Linked DNA regions of Canis lupus familiaris. The protein of the gene in region 5 purifies or fractionates together with the protein of the main gene of each other region. This does not show direct contact. Links are inferred from orthologs where the notes say so. Each region holds a gene or a part of one and is shown on either strand. Other genes may lie near its edges. The genes, in order: RFC1, SMARCAL1, TOP3A, RFWD3 and RPA3.

Region 1 (3,516 bases), on a different chromosome or scaffold from region 5:
TGTTAATAGTTTATGTTAAAGACAGTCATGTTCCTCTTAAAATCCTTTGTGCATCAAGTTTCTTGGGGTCAGTTGGTGCGGAGACCTAGTTAGCAAGATCTCTCTCAGGGCCATAACGTGTTTTGGACTTATCTGTTGTTTTCTCTGGGAGTAGCTTCCCCTACCAACAGATGAGAGACAGAGGGAAGGGGTGTGATGCCCTGGAATTAGGTGCCTAGGACAGTGTGGCTTCGTTTGCCAGAAACGACTCAGAAGCCAACAGCTGTGTAGGAAGCAGCTTGGTACTGAATTCAGATTGTGGACTGCAATTGATTTTTTTTTTTTTTTTAAGGCCATTTATGCCAGTGTTCTTCCTGGAGAGCTAATGAGGGGGTACATGACCCAGTTTCCTACTTTCCCAAGCTGGTTAGGGAAGCACTCATCTACCGGCAAACACGATCGTATTGTACAGGATCTAGCACTGCACATGAGTCTCAGGTAAGTGGTATTAGTTCATGTCTGGCATTTTATCAGTATAGCATATTTAGCTTTTATCCAGTGAGGATAGTGTAAATTAAAAGATTTGTGTTTTAGTTGTGATTTTATTGCTAACTAGATAAATGACCCTGGATAAGTTCCTTATATATTGTGGGCCTGAGTTTTATTATCTATAATAGGTATAATACTTGTTTTATCATTTAAAAGGATACTTTGAAGATGAGCACAGTTGGTAGATGTGCCATAATTTTAAGATAAATATTGAAGCTATGTAAATCTGAGGTAGTGCTACTATTTATTATTGTGACTACACCTATTACTTGTAGGGATACATAATGTCTCAGCTTCCAAATAATTTAATAGGAAGAAAGACTATTTAAATAAATGAACTAGTTTTTACCTATCCTAGTAATAAACTGAACTAGTCATTTATGATCGGGGACACAGTTTAGCATATAACAACAGGAGGCAGATGTGCAGATGATTGAAAAATCAGTGTTTAATGGAGAAGTTTAATGGAGTCCAAAAATTCTTGTTATTTGGTACAATTTTGTTAAAGTTGAAAAACCAAGAAGTTTGGAGAAGTTTAATGAAGTCCAAAAATTCTTGTTATTTGGTACAATTTTGTTAAAGTTGAAAAACTTAGAAAATGTGCACACACCCAAATATTCAGTGAACTTTAGGAATTTATTTTTAACCACAAAGAACTACTTGAGTAGTCTTCTTTTTTTTTCTGATCTCTGGAGGGAATATTCGTTAACATTGGTCCACTCTTAACTTCTGTTTGAAGCTGAACTGAAATGCTTCCTTTCTACTGTTCCTATAAAATTCTGACTATGTTCCCTCTTCCTAGCCTATAGCATGGCGCTTTTTTTTGCCACTCTTGTATTAGTTTCCTATTGTTGCTGTAACAAATTGCTAAGAATTTAATGGTTTAGGGGTACCTGTGTGGCTCAGGCAGTTAAGAGTCTGCCTTCAGCTTAGGTCATGATCCCGGGCTCCTGGGATGGAGCCCCACATTGGGCTGCCTGCTCAGCAGGGAGCCTGCTTCTCTTCTGTCTGCCACGCTCTCTTCTCTCTCTCTCTCTGTCAAATAAATAAAATCTTTAAAAAAAAAACCCTTAATGGTTTAAAATAACACACATTTATTGCTGTCTTAGGATGCAAAGAATCTCCTGGATTATCTGGGCGCACAGTGTAATTACAAGGATCTTTACCAAAAAGAAATAAAAGAGAGACAGCAGTATCTAGTCAGAGAGGGAAAGAGATTCTAAGATGTTACATTGTTGGCTTTGAAGATGGGAAAAGAGACCATGAGCCAAGGGATGTCTATGGCCTCTATAAACTGGAAGGGGTTGCTTTCCCCACTGCTCGTGGTCAAAGTGCAAGGCCTGGCTCTAAGCTCTTTTCTACTCCCTGCCCTCTGCTTTTAAAAAAGGTGATGCATCCCTGTGCCCTGGTGGTAGGTATTCATCTTTGATGCCCCCACCGTTTTCATAGATCATTGGCATTGGACTTCCATCTTGTTTTGTGGCTGTGCTTTTGTATGTCTGTCCCCTTTTCCTGTTAGACCGAACATATCTGGTGATAGGAACTGAGGCCTACTCATCCAGCACATTAAATTGCTCCATGAATGTTCCTTAATGAATCATATACAGGACATTATCATCATCAAAGGACATCTATAATGAATTCAGAATTTTTAGAATAAATTAGGACCTTCCTATTTAATTTTTAACCCTAAGTCCTTGAACTTTTATAGATCTCAGTTTATTTTTAAAAATGGAAGTACAAAATAGTACTTTTAGTATTAGTTCTAGTTAGGGTGATAGATGCCATTGAGAATCTGAAAGCTCTTTGATTTTTATTAATCCCAAAGGCAGTAAAGTACAAATAATGCTAGAGGAATTACAGATTTCTGAGGTTAAGAACCCTTGATTTAGGAACACTAGATGATACCTTTAGACTTTTCTAGAGGTATTTTCTGTGATTCTAAGTAGAAGGTAACAGTAATTAACAAAATATGAGAGAATACTTTTGAGAAAGGTTTCATGATTTTTGTAGGCACTGTGGCTTAGGGCTTGTCTTTAAGCACTAATAGTGCTTGGTTATGGAAGACTACTGAATCTAGAGGAAACGGGTGAATTTAAAATACGAGTTTTTGGATTCTTTGACAGGAGCAGGGTTCTAGATTTCTGATCAAGAGAACTCTTCATATTCAGTTACCTAAAGGCAATAGCAGGGCCCATTAATAATTTAAAAATGTTTATGGGCTCTGAAGCCCAGCAACTTTTGAGGTTTCTTGTTTCCTCATTTGATGATGGAAGCAGCTGGATTGGAAAGGTTTAGATTGGTGGCATTTTGTTCTAGTTTTGAGTGACCATATTTAAGAGTGAGTGAGAAAGTCATTTCATGATAGCATTGTTCTCAGCAGATGCGAGACTTTTTCCTGAAGCCTTCCTCTCACAAGTGTGGACCACCTTGTGATTCTGCAGGGACATTTTCGGCAGTTTTCTAAGTTTGGGGAAAGCCTTGCTCTAGAACTAAAGATTTCGGAGTAACCTCATATTAGGAAATATGAGGGAAACATTCATATATAATTTTGCGTGTTATAATCAGAGATCAAATGGTGTTACAAGCCCTCATGTAGGAAGTAGCACTGGTACTTGAGGTAGGAAATCTCACTGCCTTTTCCCGATGCTTGTAATATTTGGAACTGGGAATGAGTAATATTTGGTTATAATGAGTATGAGCACATAGAAGTCTTATTGTTGCCCAGGCCTTGAGAGTAGGTTGGAAGTAGAACCTACATTTGTGTTTTTCATTCACTGATGCAGATAAGTAGGAAATCCATTCCCTTTGAGCACACTGGTCTGTATCCATTATCCTGATGTTGTAGTGAGTGCTAGGCTTTCTCTACCAGCTGATTTATTTTTATTTTTATTTTTTTTCTACCAGCTGATTTAAATAGTAGACATTACACTGGGCATTATTTTTTTTTTTTTTTTTTTTTTTTTTTTTTACATTGGGCATTATTAA
Region 2 (3,516 bases), on a different chromosome or scaffold from region 5:
AAAATTAAGTCTCCTTCTTTTCAAAGGGCATACAATAACAAAGGCTCTGTGAAAATATTTACCATTCAATTGAATTAGAGTTCTTTAAAAAGCTTAAAAATAAGGTTGTTTCAAGTTAGCTTATTAACTGTTTATGAGGATAATTTATACTCTACATTTAAAAATATGATATTTGTGGTTTCTGGCTGAGCCAGAGGAGCATGCCAACTCTTGATCTGGGGGTCATGAGTTTAAGCCCCATGTTGGGTGTAGAGGTTACTTAAAATATGAATTAAAAAAAATAAAAATATGATCTCTAAGACTTATCTCGATCATTACATTTGAAAGGAAGCATTTAGTTATTACATCAATGTAAATGAAAGATCAAATCCTCAGACTCTCTAGTCTTCCTGTCACTCAAAGATATTGCTGATTTTACTCAGACTCTGATTTTGGGCAGTTCCATGAGAAGGAGAAGACACTTGGTTTTCAGAGGAGCTACCTGAAGGCCACCATTCTGCATGAGGCTGAGTGAAATCCCCAGGAGTGATCCACTTCTCTTTCAGGACCCAAGGGCTGAGGAGACAACTCAATAGCTCCCCCCACCCCAGTGGCAAGGAGCCATTTGCTGGTGTTACCTTGTAGAAGTAATTAGGAGCTTCTGTCATTTCTGAAAAATTGGTCTCAGAAAGTCCGGCTTCACCCAGAACTTTAATCTTCTCTTGAATTAGGGGCCTGTTGGGGAAAAAAGAGCTGCGATGAATACAAACTGCACAGAACCAGTGGGATGAAAAAGAGATCACCCTCCTTGTTTTTATGGGACTGAGGCATGCTGTTTCACTTCTTTGGAACGCTCAAGGTACAAACACCCAACCTAAAATATTTGTCTCTTCTGTAAACCAATTTAGCGTTTGCATCATTAGGTTCAAAATTCTTTCTACTGGAAGATGTGGAGAAAATAGATGTCTCATTACAACAAAATTCTGAACCTGGTGCTGAAAATGGCCCCGTGGTTATGAGCTGCCCAATGATCAAATCAACAAATCCAAAGATGTAGGAGTAGGGACAACCTACACATGTGACAAAGGTAAGATCCCTTAGTCACAAGGCTGGAAACAGAAATGAGTAGTAGAAACTAATGAGGTAATCAAGAAACTTAGTATTAGGAAAGGGGTAAGTATGACTAGGAAGGAGCATTTGGAGACTTTTTGCTTAGGTAACAGACATGAACCCCAGGGTTGAAAAATTTTACCCTAGTTCTAAGGAAGCCCCATGTGGCCCAGGGTGAGCCACTTCCTCCCAGTGGTCAGCTGCAGCACTGTATGATGGCCTTATTTTACCGATACGTGCCATGAAGGAGCAGAGGGCAGTATGACCATGTCTCAGCAGAGTCTTCATAGCTGGGACGGAGTGTCTTACAAGCAAACCTGCACATATACTTCTTCCCCCCTCCCTTGTCTCAGGACACTGGGAAAGGAGCCACATCCCCTTATCCCTCATGCACCCAGCAAGTCATGAGTGAATGCTGTGAAGGAGGCCCGACATGGTCATGGTGGAAGTGGGAGGGCATTACTCCTGGGTCTTCTGCATGGGTCCCTGAAGACATCAGCAAGAGCAGAAGCAGTTAGGGAGCGAAGGAAATACATCACAGGCGTCAACCCTTGCTTAACCCCAGTGGCCAGCCATACCAGAGGTAGTCATCAGCTGTGCCTTTCGCCACGAGGTAGTGGATGCTCACAGAGCTCGACTGTCCGATTCGGTGCACCCGGTCCTCAGCCTGAAGCAGCACCTGTGAGGTACAGGGATCAGGATGTGTGCAGGCCAAGGCCTGAAGGGGCTCAGTCCACCACAGCAGGCAGTCCCCTGCCCCCGAGCCCACCACACCCTTCTTCCGAAAGGACTTCACTCCATGACCCAAGTCAGCAGGCTGAGAACCTCTACCTTCAAGGAAGCTGTCACCTAACATAAGAGAGAATCAAACAAAACTAAAGTTCTGGGGTAATCTAGAATCTATAGCCAGACAGCTTTGGGCAGAGCCCTAGGTGCCACAAGGAACGAACAGCAAGCTCTGACCTGCCAGCAGGCTATGCTGAAGGGCAAATGAAGGAAGCCTGGCACATTTCCATTCTTCTTGCCATGTAAGAAACCATTACCTTGTAAATAAACAAACATATCACAACCAAGGGAGAGGCCCTATATGATTAGGGGTAGTGTGGCTCTTTAATACGGCGGTAAGCCCTACAATAGATAACAAAGCCCAAGAGCATTGTTTCCATCCCATATGCTTTCAGCCTAGAAGTCTACGTGCCCTATGTGTGGCCAGTGACATATATCTGCTATCACAGCTCTCTGCTCATCAGATGAGGCCAGTGGACACAAAGACCACGTTCAGGGAACACCCAGAAAGGTCGCCTGTCATGGCTGCATCGGCTAAGCAGCTTGCAATGATGGCTAATAGATGGCACAGGCTGGAAGCCCAGAGGCCTGGGCTGGGGTTGCTGTAGCCACAGGCTCCCCTTTGGGGACAGCTGTGCATGTGAGCTCTCTGTGCCCCAATTTCCCCTCAGAGGAAGGACTCCTAAGATTCCTTCCAGCCTTCTAAAACTTCAGTATTTCCTTCCATAACATGGAGTCGATACTCCTACTACTTAGGAGACTGCTGTGAAGATCTAATAACTAGCCAACAGATATGCAAGGCTTCACTTCTTTTAAGACTGGTAACTGGGGAAAAAAAAAAAAAAAAAGACTGGTAATTGGGAAGTATAAAACATGTTTCTGAGGCCTAACAGAAACAGATGGAAGAAAACAAAACTGGTGCTAGGGAGAGCACCCAGATACCTACTCTGCCCAGACTGACGCTCTTGCTCCTTCTGCCCCATAGCCACACGCACACCCGGGAGATTCGAGTCCCCTGTGTCCCTTACCCCTGGATTCCAAAAGAGCTCAGCAAACACCACCAGGTCAGCCGAGGTGAAGGTGAGGCCCATGTTGGCAGCGGTGATGGACAGCACGGCCACAGCGTGCTTCTCGAACAGCTGGAACTGCTGGCACAGGTCCTCTCGGTCCGCCGAGGAGGTGGAGCCGTCGATGTGGATGTGTGGCACGTGCTGCAGGGACAAGGACGGGAAGCGAGGTGGGCTGCACCAGTGCCTGGGGCTCGGCAGCCGCGGCTCCGAGGACAGAGCCACGCTGCTGTTCTAACTCAGATCACGGGTCTGTCACTGCTTTCACAGCTTCTTGTCTTTTTGTTTCACATTGAGTTTTGTGTTGATGGGATTGTAGATGCACATTAGTTGAAGCAAAAATACAGAGATTCCTTGAACATCTGGCCCACTTTCTCCCAGTGGTAATATTTTGTTAAACTATAGTAAATCACAACCAGGATGCTGACTTTGATACAACGTACTGATCTCATGCCCATGTCCTCAGTGTTACTTAAACTTGCATGTGTGTGTTCTACACAGTGTTATCACTGTGGGTTTCCACATTATCTCCTTCACAGTCAAGACACTGAACAGAGCTACAGGAGCCTGGCAG
Region 3 (3,516 bases), on a different chromosome or scaffold from region 5:
GACTAACTCGAATTTTGTTATCATTCAGAATGTTACCATGGTAATGACTTCAGTTTCTGGACATTTGCTGGCTCACGATTTCCAGATGCAGTTTCGCAAATGGTCAGTACAGTTCCTAGGGGATATTACAGTAAGTTGTGAAATGCTAGAGGAATTTTGAGGCCTGTTGATCTTACCGTAGAGCTTAACAATACTGATGACTGTCTTGGTCCATTTGGGCTGCTCTAATAAAATGTCATCAAGTTGAGGGACACTTATAAACAACAGAAATTTATTTCTCGCAGTTCTGGATGCTAAAAGTAGGAGAGCAGGGTTGCCAGCACAGTCAAGTGAGGGGCCCTCTTCCCCATTGCACCCTGCTGACCTTTCACCGTGTCCTCATCTGGTAGAAGGAGCTAGGGAGCTCTGTGGGGCTTCTTTTATAAGAGCGCTAATCCCATTCATGAGGTACCACTACCTTTATGACATAATCACCTCTGAGAGTCCCCACCTTCCAACAGCATCACATTGGTGTTAGAATCTCAACCTATGTATTTTGAGGGAACAAAAACCATGGAGCCCACAGCAGTGACCTAAGATCAACTGAACCATTGTGAATTTTTGCCATACATTTAGAATAAACCACCTTGAAGTGTATTTCCCTTAAAATAGCCAGACCTATTTTACGTAGTCACTGGATTAACTGATCCTATTGCAGACATTAATGAAAGAGTTCCAGAATTACTATTTAGCTCCTCCAGTTGTCATAGAAAGCACTTAGTGCAGAGGATCATAGCCTTGCTTTTAATCCTCTGGCCTTTTAATGTGGGACCTTTTCTGTTTGGGTTCCATCCATGAGCACACTGGAGCAATTTTTTCTCATTAAAATAGAGGACTTGTCATCTCTGCTGAGGTTGGATGTGTTGTGTTTTCATTTCTTTTCTAGGCAGAGCTGCAATCCCCTTGTCCTCTTTGAAGCAGAAATTGAAAAGTACTGCCCAGAGAATTTTGTAGGCATCAAGGTAGGGTGTTTTGGAAGATGTGTGGCACTGGAGTTGAACAGTTCCTGAGTACAAAATAATTGAACTATGATTTCTGCATTCTGAATGCATTAGAATTTAGAGATCCAGTTTCCCACCAAACTTAGTACCATGATTTTATTTTTTAACATACTTTTTAAAGATTTTATTTATTTATTTGAGAGAGAGAGAAAAAGAGAATGTGAGTGGGGAAGGGGCAGAGGGACAGAGAGAATCCCTAGCAGACTCCCTACTGAGTGTGGAGCCTGGCTTGGGCTGAGATCACAACCCGAGCCGAAACCAGGAGTCAGACACTTAACCGACTGAGTCACCCAGACATCCCAGTAACATTTTAAAAATTACTCCCACTCATATAAATGAGGCCACTTAAACTAAGTAGCCAAGGAACTAAAGTAAGCCTTTTTATATATACTACTTGTTTAAATCCTAGGAATAGTATTGTTAAATTATTAATTCTAGGCTCCAGCCCTAATTAGCACAGAGAGATGACAAAGTGTAAAGGGTCATTTGACAGCAAGTTATGAGTTCTTAAGCAGTCAGGGCACGTATAATTAGTTCACTGCTAATTGGGAAACCTTCTTGGGGGTAAAACTCAATTTAGGGATTTCTTTTTCTTTTTCCTTTTCTCCCCCCCCCCTTTTTTTTTTTTACCAGGATACCATCAGAGCCATGAGAGTTACAAGTATATGTTAGAACTGAATTTTAGGTTTTGTCATACTAGGGTAGTTGTATTAAAGCCTCAATCTAGAAGCTCACTTATGGGTCTTTGATTCTAGGTCGAAGGATTATACTAGTGGCCTTGGCATCCTTAGAGGTTCCCCCAGATCTCTCCCTTCTCTCCAATTTGCCACATTCCAAGAACGTCCCTAAGGTTCAGTCAGATCTCTTTAGCGTAGAAGTGTCAAGTGATAGTGATTGTGTTCTCACTGCCCTTTCCCCACTGGGAATTTTAGAAAACTCTGCAGCGAGAGACTCAGCAATGCCAGGCCCTGGTGATCTGGACCGACTGTGACAGAGAAGGTGAAAATATCGGGTTTGAAATTATCCACGTATGCAGGGCTGGTAAGTGCTGTGACTTTTGAGTTTCTCCACTTTGGAACCACAGAGGTAGATGATTCCCCTGAGAGAGTGGGCTGTGGCTTAGTTTTTCCCTGGAGAGTCTCCCCTCTGGATCCATTCGTTCTTACCAGCTCTGTGTCTTTGGAGCCCCAGCTTTCAGGAAAGTCAGGCCAATCTGACAGTTGTTAGGGCTGCATCAGGACTAAATGAGTTAACCAGTGGCTCAGACCCTGTAGCCCATGGCTTGTTACATATTAGGTCCAAGTACATGGCCAGCTCCTTGAGAGCAAAGACTTTATGTATTTTATTCCTTTATTTATTTATTTTTTTAAAGATTTTATTTATTTATTCATAGGGATGCAGAGAGAGAGTGAGAGAGAGAGGCAGAGACACAGGCAGAGGGAGAAGCAGGCTCCATGCAGGGAGCCTGATGTGGGACTTGATCCAGGGTCTCCAGGATCACGCCCTGGGCTGCAGGCGGCACTAAACCACTGCGCCACCGAGGCTGCCCCTATTGTATTCCTTTAAAGTTACATTTTGAACACGTGCAAGAGAACATATATGCCGATTATACAGAACAAAGAATCATTCTGGAATGAGGTATTAATTTGCTGTATTCTTTGTACAAAGCCTGTTGTTGAAACCAATTTAAATGCCTCGAACAAGGCCAATGATTTCAGGTAACTTCAAGGAAGTGATGCACAGTCCATTCTCAGGCTTCAGATAGTGGATGGTTTCTATTTTCCCTAAATGTGTTTGTGCTGAAACTGTAATGACTCCTGGGAATTTAAGTATGTTAACTTTCAAGAAAGCGTAGGTGTCCCATGTTATTTCTTTGTCAGGATGTGAAATTCCTCCTTTGGACCTTTTCATTGACAATGTTTTAATTTTATCTAAAAGTCTGGGAGAGCAAGTGAGATATTAGGATCTTTTTTTTTTCTTTTTTTTTTTTTTTCTTTTTCTTTTTCTTTTTTTGAGATATTAGGATCTTGAGAGGCTCACCAAGAGAATAGCTGAAATTCACTTGAATTGCTAAAACTCACACTGCTGTTATTTCTGACAACACTAAGTTTAGCGGTAATAATGACGTTTTCCCATTAGGTGGTTACCATGCTGTCAGTTTAACCTAATCAGAAAATTGGGTGCAGCAATGTGGTTTGACTTTAACCTTGGTGACTGTTCCACAGTGAAGCCAAACCTGCAGGTGCTGAGAGCCCGTTTCTCTGAGATCACCCCCCGAGCTGTCCGGGTGGCCTGTGAAAACCTGACTGAGCCCGATCAGAGAGTGAGCGATGCCGTGGATGTGAGGCAGGAGTTGGACCTGAGGATTGGTGAGCAGCTGGCCAACTCCTTGTGGGGGTCCATGTAGCAGAGTGGATGTTGGGCTATGGCACCAAGATTTTTGTGTAAGTATGTGCAGGTAACTTTGATCTTACGA
Region 4 (3,516 bases), on a different chromosome or scaffold from region 5:
AGGCTCCTCGCAGGGAGCCTGATGCGGGACTTGATCCCAGGATCTTGGATCACGCCCTGAGTCGAAGGCAGATGCTCAACCACTGAGCCATCCAGACGTCCCAAGAATGATCTTAAGCAGAAGTTCTAGAAGACTTAGATATAATTATATCATGGACATATAGCATGTTTTATCTATTTTACTGATACTTTTTATGAATGTTACTTCCCCAGTGATGGCTCACGAAGCAATGGAATATAACCTTCATGGGCAGTTAGACCATCATGTTGCAGAACAGCCTGTTCCTGCTGAAGTGGTCATCAGCCTAGAGGGACCACCCGTGTTCCAGGCTCTACCTGCAGAAGTGGTCATCAGCCAAGAGGGACCACCCGTGCTCCAGGCTCTACCTGCAGAAGTGGTCAGCAGCCAAGAGGGACCACCCCTGCCCCAGCCTGCTCCACACGTGTCTGTTGGCCTGACAGAGGAAGGGGAGCTGTTGGGAGAAGATCGTGTGGAGAGCATTAATCCAGGAGCTTCGGAGGAGCATAGTCAGCGATCTCGTGTTAACCCCCCTGTCCAAGTGTCTTCATTGGATTCGATGAACAGCTTCATCAGTGGGCTGCAGAGACTTCATGGCATGCTGGAATTCCTGAGACCTCCATCAGACCACAACGTGGGACCAGTGAGATCCAGAAGGATGAGAGGATCTTCACGCAGGTCAAGAACTACAGGGTCACAGAGGACAGACAGTACCAGGTAAAAATAATGTTAAAAATCTTGGGATTCGGGATCCCTGGGTGGCTCAGCGGTTTGGCGCCTGCCTTTGGCCCGGGGCGCGATCCTGGAGTCTCGGGATTGAGTCCCGTGTCGGGCTCCCAGCATGGAGCCTGCTTCTCCTTCCTCCTGTGTCTCTGCACACACCCCCCCCCCTCCACCCCAGGTGTCTTATCATAAGTAAATAAATAAATCTTTAAAAAAAAATCTTGGGATTCGTGCCAGATTGGGACTATGAGCCCAGTGCTGCCAAGGTGTGGCACTATGACTTTTGGCAAGTTATATGGCCTTTCTGAACTCCCAATTCCTCACAAGTCAGGTGAAAATAAAAGGTGCTTGCCTTATTTACTCACAAAGTCATTGAGGGATAATTTACCCTGATGTGCTTTGAAAACTAGGTGGTAGTTTATCAGCAACGGTTTCTATAGGGGCTGGCACTTCTTCAGATCATTTGCATATGAAAAAAGTATATTTTGACTTAAAAGTCCACACTCCAGTTACCCAGGTTCCATTGTTCATTGGCATTCCTTGTAACGATGCAGTAGACTTTGGTGCAGTAGACTTTGGAAGACCGGCAGGCTGGACTTAGAGAAGCCTTGTGAAAAGTAAAATGTGAATTAATTTAGGGCTTATCTGACTAAGTGGGGAAACATTCCAGCCCTCCTCATCTCAGAAGGTGTTGCAGAGTTGAAAATAATTTTCTTTCATAGTTTTTCATTTGAACTTTTCTCTGAAAGAACTTAGCTATATCAAGTCTTGACATGGTTATTTTTATAACCACCAGCTATGCCTTGCCTGTTTTTTAACTTCATCCTGCTTTATTTAAAATACTTTATTTCACATTTGGCCTCCTAAATGTTTTCATAACGTTTTAAGAGATTTAACACCATGTTCATTTTATATGCAAAGGAAATTGGACCCTGAGAAAGCCTTTTGTTCAGGGTCAAGGTCGAGTTGATAAGGGAACCTGGATCTGACTCATTTTCTGTGCAGGCAGATAGAGGACACTTCAGTCACATCCATTTGTTTTCTTAACATTATGAAAATAATGAGACAATACTAAAAAGCAGTAACTAGGCCATCTATTGACTATGTCTTGGAAATAAGAAAGCCAATAGAATAATTTGTGTTCTGACTAGGGTAGCTCTGGAATTGGGATTGTGCCTTCTGATCCTCGATTCAGCATCCTTTTCCATGGATTCTGCTGATTGCTGAATGGAGGAGGGAGATGGTGCTGCTTTCCCTCTGGATCTAGTCTCTAGCCTGGTCAGTTCTGGATGTGACCTCTCAGGGATGATGTGCTTAGTCATGTGTTGATAAGAGTTTCAAGGGCATGTAACTGTTATTTTAAGGCATCATTCCCTCTGATTATGAAGGCAGAATAAGATTTCATGTTTGTGTCCTAGGTCAAGGTACCCTGTAGCCGAGTTTGGGAACCCTTTCAAAGTGTGTGGGCTGAGGGTTGAGAGTGATGGCCCCAGGAACTGGCTGACTGCCAAGAGACCTCACCATATTCCTCAGCCTTGGTTGTTCATATACTCATCCATGGGGAGAGGGGAGTTGGGGCGGAGTTGATTACTTCTGTGGGAGACTTGGGAACCCACTCATAGGGGTGTAACACTTAAAAACCAGTTGCCAGTTTACAGAGAGAACTAGAAGTGCCACAGGGATCAAAGTCTCTTTCTGGCATGGGCAGCATGATTCTCCTAAAAGAAATTTCTGATTAGAGTCTAGTCTAGAAGCTAGACTCTAATCAGAAAATTGCTTGATGCATATAGAATCTGTGCTCAGGGACTGGTCTAGATTCTAAATCTAAATTACAGAATTTAGTTGTTAAAGGATATCAGTTGAGCTATTTGACTGACAGTTGTATTTGTCTCTACTAAAGGAATAAGCCTAAAGGGCTAGAGATTGTGTGGTTCAATGAAGAAAACATGGATTCTGGAGCCAGATAAATGTGGCCTTAAAACTTTTTTTCCCCTAAATACTGTGTTGTAAGCAAATTCCACACTAAATTCACAAAAAACAGGAGCTTTTCCTAGTACTGATTGCTTTTTTTTTTTTTTAAGATTTTATTTATTTATTCATGAGAGACACACACACACACACAGAGAGAGAGAGAGAGAGAGAGAGAGAGAGAGGCAGAGACACAGGCAGAGGGAGAAGCAGGCTCCATGCAGGGAGCCCGACACGGGACTCGATCCCAGGACTCCAGGATCATGCCCTGGGCCAAAGGCGGCGCTAAACCGCCCAGCCACCCAGTCATTCCACCTACTGAATTTCTTAACGTGAATTCTTCATTATGGTGTTTGGCACTTACTCACCTGACAGACCCTTTCTGGGTCAGGTGTTGAGAGCCTGAGCCAGGGGGAGCAGCTTTTGCCTCAGACTCCACTGAGAAGCCAAAGTTGGGGGAAGCTGAGTAATGAGATATTTTTCCAAACAGCTTCTCAGCCAAGATCACAAACACCTTTCCTGTTTCTTTGTTTGAGGCTGCTTGATTCTGGCTGTCAGCGTCACTCATTCATCAAAAATTTCTAATATTCCACTATGTGAGAGACTGAACTTTGCCTGGAGATATATTGTGAACAGGACAGATAAGGGTACCTGTTCTCATGGAGCTTATGGAATGTAGGACTACTGAGGGTAAGCAAGGGGCAAGAACTCATTATACTATTATTTAATTCAGAGATGATGAGTGCAGGCAAAGAGGAGGATCTCTTGTTGTGAAGGTTGCACTCCCAGAGAGAAAACCTAGCTCTG
Region 5 (4,011 bases):
GAATCCTGGGAGACTCCGTCTAGTACCTAAATTTGAATAGTGACAACCTGGAGGATTTAGGAAAATCCACACTCATTTTCCAAATGAAAAGTTGTTGGTTTCCCCCCATTTTTTAATGAGCGTTCATTCTAGAAAATTCCTGGCAAGGCGGTACCAATCCCAGCAAAAAAGTCCCCAAACCTACAAAACAAAAACAAAAACAAAAACATGAACCAGCGACAGATTCAAGAATCCCCCCTCCTCCCGAATGTCCCTGAAACAGGTGACCTTCCCGGCCTCCAAGTCCTGGGGCGCGAGGAGCAACGGGGGGAACATCACCGGGAAGTTAGGACGGGTCCGTGAACCACATGGGCAAAAACTTCGCAGGGATTTTGCAAAAACGATCTTGCTATCTAACCCCTTCGTTTTTTGATAGGGAAATCATATCTCAAGGAGGAGCTCACCGGTCCAGGACCTAACAATTCTTTAAATTCGTCTCCTCTCCCAGCTCGGTGATCCTCCCCCCGCCCCCCGCCCCCAACCACAACCCATTCCCAAAAGCTAGTTTGTTGCTAACTCGGAGGAGGTCTCACGTCCTTAGGGCGGCCAGGCTGTCAGGGCTAGAAAGGGTCGTAGAAATAATCAGGTGAGCCCTTCTGCCTAACAGGTGAGGGACAGAAGGGCAAGTGACGCAGCTTGAGCCGTGAAGTCACAGACCCTCTGCCGGTGAGCGGCAGGAGCCCGACAGAGGCAGTGACGGGTCACCGGCGACCCCGCCTGCCGTCCCCAGGAGGGGCCGGTGTCAAAACACGCCCGATCCCTCGACTGCAGCACGAACCCCGCGCTCCCCACGCAGACCCGGGAAGCGGGGAGGGAGGCGGGGAACCGCGAAGAGCCGGTGCGCAGCACCGAGAAGCCGCGGCAGGGCAGGACCCGAGTCCCGCCTCTCTCTTCCGCATCCGTCGACGGACGGGGAGCAAGGGAAACAGCGCGGTTGCGGCGCGTCCCGCGAGAAGAGCTACCTGAGGCTGCGCCGCAGTCCCCCGCCGCCACCGCACCGGAGCCCAACAGCCTGCTTCCGGGATCTCGCCGGGCGGCAGCCGCCGACCCGCCCCGTCCAAGCCCCGCCTCCGCGGCCCAGTCCGCGGAGGACCCGGGCAACTTCCGGGACGCCGCGCGTCGCTAGGCAGCCGATCCCCACTTCCGGAAGCGGCCCTCCCTGCCGGGGCCGCTCCGGGGGCTACGCGATCGCGATCGCAATTTCCGCGCCTTTGATTGGTGGAGGGAGAGTGCCGGCCCCCGCCGATTGGCGCCGGCGTCCTGCGCCCCCTGGTCGCCGCAGGGCGCGCCGCTTGGGTCGTCGGTTTCCTGCCGGCCGCGGGGCTCGCGCCGCAGCCATGGTGGACATCCTGGAGTTGCCCAAGTCGCGCATCAATGCCAGCATGCTAGCTCAGTTCATCGACAAGCCGGTCTGCTTCGTGGGGAGGCTGGAAAAGGTGCGCGCCGTCGCTGCCCTGGGCTCCCTGCTTTGCACCGGGGGGACGAGGGGGGCCCCGTGGCCGCCGGGGCGGCAGCCTGAGGGTGGCAAGGGAGGGTGCAGGAGGACGGGCCGTGGAGCATCGCTGCGCTCCTAGGTGCTTCGTTTGACGCAAGGGGACTTTTTGCGCTCTTTTTAGGCACTGCAGCCCCATTTTGGCGCCAGTTTTATGGCGCGGCGTCGTGACGTTTTCGAAAGCGCTGCGTTCTAATCCTAGCGCCCTCCACTCTGGCCCCTGTTTTGTAGATAACGAGAAGAAAACTAGAGACCTGACTCTCCGTGTCTTAGATAGCCAGACGTTTCAACTGCTCTGCTCGTCATGCAGTTCTGTCTTTCCTCAAACTTCGTTTTCTCGTTCAAGTCCCTTCGCCATGAACTTTCTTCGATCGTCCCTTCCAGACCCCACAGCAGTCTGTTTGCTTATGCCGGTGTTAGAGTGCAGCACCTTCACCCGACTGATGACCGGCAGGCCCAAAGCTTGGGAACCCGTGAACCGAGAAAGCTTGGGGGGGAGGGGGGGGCGGGGCGGGGGGGATCTAGGGTAAACTCTTAGCAGCTCATTCCAGCCTTGATCCTGAAATAGGTGTTGCTCGACCCCGCAGGTAGGGGAAACTGGGTAGGAGTAGTGTATGGTTAATTGCTTAAGGCCACAGCTTCAAACCAGATCTGACCGCACTCTTTACAACTATCTGTAGTAGAACCCAAGTCTTCTGACAACCAGTTCTCTTTACTTCATCATGCTTAATTTTTTTTTTTTTAAGTAATCTTTACCCTCAAGGTAGAGCTCAAACTCACCACCCTGACGTTAATACTGCCAGGCTCTAGGACCTAACCAAGCAGGAACCACCCCCACCCCACCCCCCGCAGGTGTAATTTTTAAAACACACCCTGTGGTGTAATACATACTGTTTAACTCATGAATACTGGAAGATCCCACCGTTAGGATGGATCCCCTTTAATTTGTTGTTAGCACAGGGTTGCCAGATTTATTTATTTATTTATTCATTCATTCATTCATTCATTCATGAGAGACACAAAGAAAGAGCCAGAGACACAGGCAGAAGGAGAAGCAGCTCCCTGTGAGAAGCCTGCTGGGGGACTCCATCCCAGGACCCTAGGATCAGGACCTGAGCCAAAGGCAGAGGCTCAACCACTGAGCCATCCAGGGGCCCCAGGTTTTGTTCAAAAACAGTTGATTTGTATGCATTGACTAAATATGTTTGGGACAATTTGCTTATCTTCTGTCAAACTTTTAATATTTTTATTTTAATGAGATTTTTAAAGTTTGTTTTGTTTATGTGGTTGGTTTTTTTTAATACTGTGTTTCTCTTTTAGATTCATCCCACTGGAAAAATGTTTATTCTTTCTGATGGAGAAGGAAAAAATGGAACCATTGAGTTGATGGAGCCCGTATGTTTAAGTATTAATTCTATGTATCTTGTAGTTTATTCTGTATCTTGTTGATATTTCTGATTCTTGGAGTAGATGGATAAAGGACCAGCTTATAAAACTTCTCTGCTCTAAAATTAAACTTAGCTCCTCTTCTTACATTTTATATCCCTTTACATTTCTAACCAGTAATTCTTTGGGCTCCATGATTTTTTAATACATCCCTTAACTGGGTGATAATTCCTATTCCTATGAAAGACCACAAAATCACATTAAAAGAATCTTTTGTGGGATCCCTGGGTGGCTCACTGGTTTGGCGCCTGCCTTCGGCCCAGGGCATGATCCTGGAGACCTGGGATCGAGTCCCACATTGGGCTCCCTGCATGGAGCCTGCTTCTCCCTCTGCCTGTGTCTCTGCCTCTCTCTCTCTGTGTGTCTCTCATGAATAAATAAATAAAATCTTTAAAAAAATCTTTTGTTTAAATCCTTTTATCCTTCCTCAAGAATTTTACATTTTTAAAATTGTATTTTTTATTTTTGTTTACATGTACCTTCAGTTATCACTTGTTCTAAGATTTTACATTTATTGTACTCAAAAATTTTTTCTTTTTTTTTTTATGAAGACAAATCCATGTGCTACTTGATTAACATATACAGAATACAGAGATAGAAAATAGAAGTTTCCTTTCAATGGGTTCTTTTAAACAAACTATTCCTTGTAGAAATGGTGGACATTCTCACTATCTTTAAGTGATTTTGTCTTCAACTAAACACTTAACTGGATCTTTGGACCTGAAGCTACTGCTAAAGGTAATAGGACTGGACATGCTGACATTAAGTATTCAAACATTTTTAACAACTTACGGTTCAGTTTTTGCATTGATAAATTTTAAGATGTTTTTGTCACATGAAATGAAAAATTAGTAAATTGTAACAATTTTCCCAGTTATCAACCAAAAATGTGACAACACCAAGTTGACAATTTGTTCTTTGTGTGTTAGCTTGATGAAGAAATCTCTGGAATCGTGGAAGTAGTTGGAAGAGTAACGGCCAAGGCAACCATTATGTGTGCATCATATGTCCAGTTTAAAGAAGATAACCATCCT

The links.
Region 1: the proteins of RPA3 (region 5) and RFC1 purify together in Homo sapiens (affinity purification with mass spectrometry; 3 studies listed by BioGRID and IntAct, with this or other methods). This does not show direct contact. The link is inferred for Canis lupus familiaris from reciprocal best matches to the Homo sapiens genes RPA3 and RFC1.
Region 2: the proteins of RPA3 (region 5) and SMARCAL1 purify together in Homo sapiens (affinity purification with mass spectrometry; 3 studies listed by BioGRID and IntAct, with this or other methods). This does not show direct contact. The link is inferred for Canis lupus familiaris from reciprocal best matches to the Homo sapiens genes RPA3 and SMARCAL1.
Region 3: the proteins of RPA3 (region 5) and TOP3A purify together in Homo sapiens (affinity purification with mass spectrometry; 3 studies listed by BioGRID and IntAct, with this or other methods). This does not show direct contact. The link is inferred for Canis lupus familiaris from reciprocal best matches to the Homo sapiens genes RPA3 and TOP3A.
Region 4: the proteins of RPA3 (region 5) and RFWD3 purify together in Homo sapiens (affinity purification with mass spectrometry; 5 studies listed by BioGRID and IntAct, with this or other methods). This does not show direct contact. The link is inferred for Canis lupus familiaris from reciprocal best matches to the Homo sapiens genes RPA3 and RFWD3.

Annotation. Positions count from the first base shown.
Region 1 is NC_049224.1:73,701,080-73,704,595, forward strand, and holds part of RFC1 (replication factor C subunit 1), read left to right. Parts: intron 1-331; coding exon 332-477; intron 478-3,516. UniProt on the Homo sapiens protein: Subunit of the replication factor C (RFC) complex which acts during elongation of primed DNA templates by DNA polymerases delta and epsilon, and is necessary for ATP-dependent loading of proliferating cell nuclear antigen (PCNA) onto primed DNA.
Region 2 is NC_049258.1:23,296,281-23,299,796, reverse strand, and holds part of SMARCAL1 (SWI/SNF-related matrix-associated actin-dependent regulator of chromatin subfamily A-like protein 1), read right to left. Parts: intron 3,087-3,516; coding exon 2,904-3,086; intron 1,769-2,903; coding exon 1,668-1,768; intron 715-1,667; coding exon 618-714; intron 1-617. UniProt on the Homo sapiens protein: ATP-dependent annealing helicase that binds selectively to fork DNA relative to ssDNA or dsDNA and catalyzes the rewinding of the stably unwound DNA. Rewinds single-stranded DNA bubbles that are stably bound by replication protein A (RPA).
Region 3 is NC_049226.1:41,483,006-41,486,521, forward strand, and holds part of TOP3A (DNA topoisomerase 3-alpha), read left to right. Parts: intron 1-28; coding exon 29-102; intron 103-925; coding exon 926-1,001; intron 1,002-1,972; coding exon 1,973-2,081; intron 2,082-3,265; coding exon 3,266-3,409; intron 3,410-3,516. UniProt on the Homo sapiens protein: Releases the supercoiling and torsional tension of DNA introduced during the DNA replication and transcription by transiently cleaving and rejoining one strand of the DNA duplex.
Region 4 is NC_049226.1:76,538,545-76,542,060, forward strand, and holds part of RFWD3 (E3 ubiquitin-protein ligase RFWD3), read left to right. Parts: intron 1-212; coding exon 213-735; intron 736-3,516. UniProt on the Homo sapiens protein: E3 ubiquitin-protein ligase required for the repair of DNA interstrand cross-links (ICL) in response to DNA damage. Plays a key role in RPA-mediated DNA damage signaling and repair.
Region 5 is NC_049235.1:23,189,030-23,193,040, reverse strand, and holds the start of RPA3 (replication protein A 14 kDa subunit), read left to right. Parts: upstream 1-1,205; 5' UTR 1,206-1,376; coding exon 1,377-1,475; intron 1,476-2,851; coding exon 2,852-2,926; intron 2,927-3,906; coding exon 3,907-4,011. UniProt on the Homo sapiens protein: As part of the heterotrimeric replication protein A complex (RPA/RP-A), binds and stabilizes single-stranded DNA intermediates that form during DNA replication or upon DNA stress.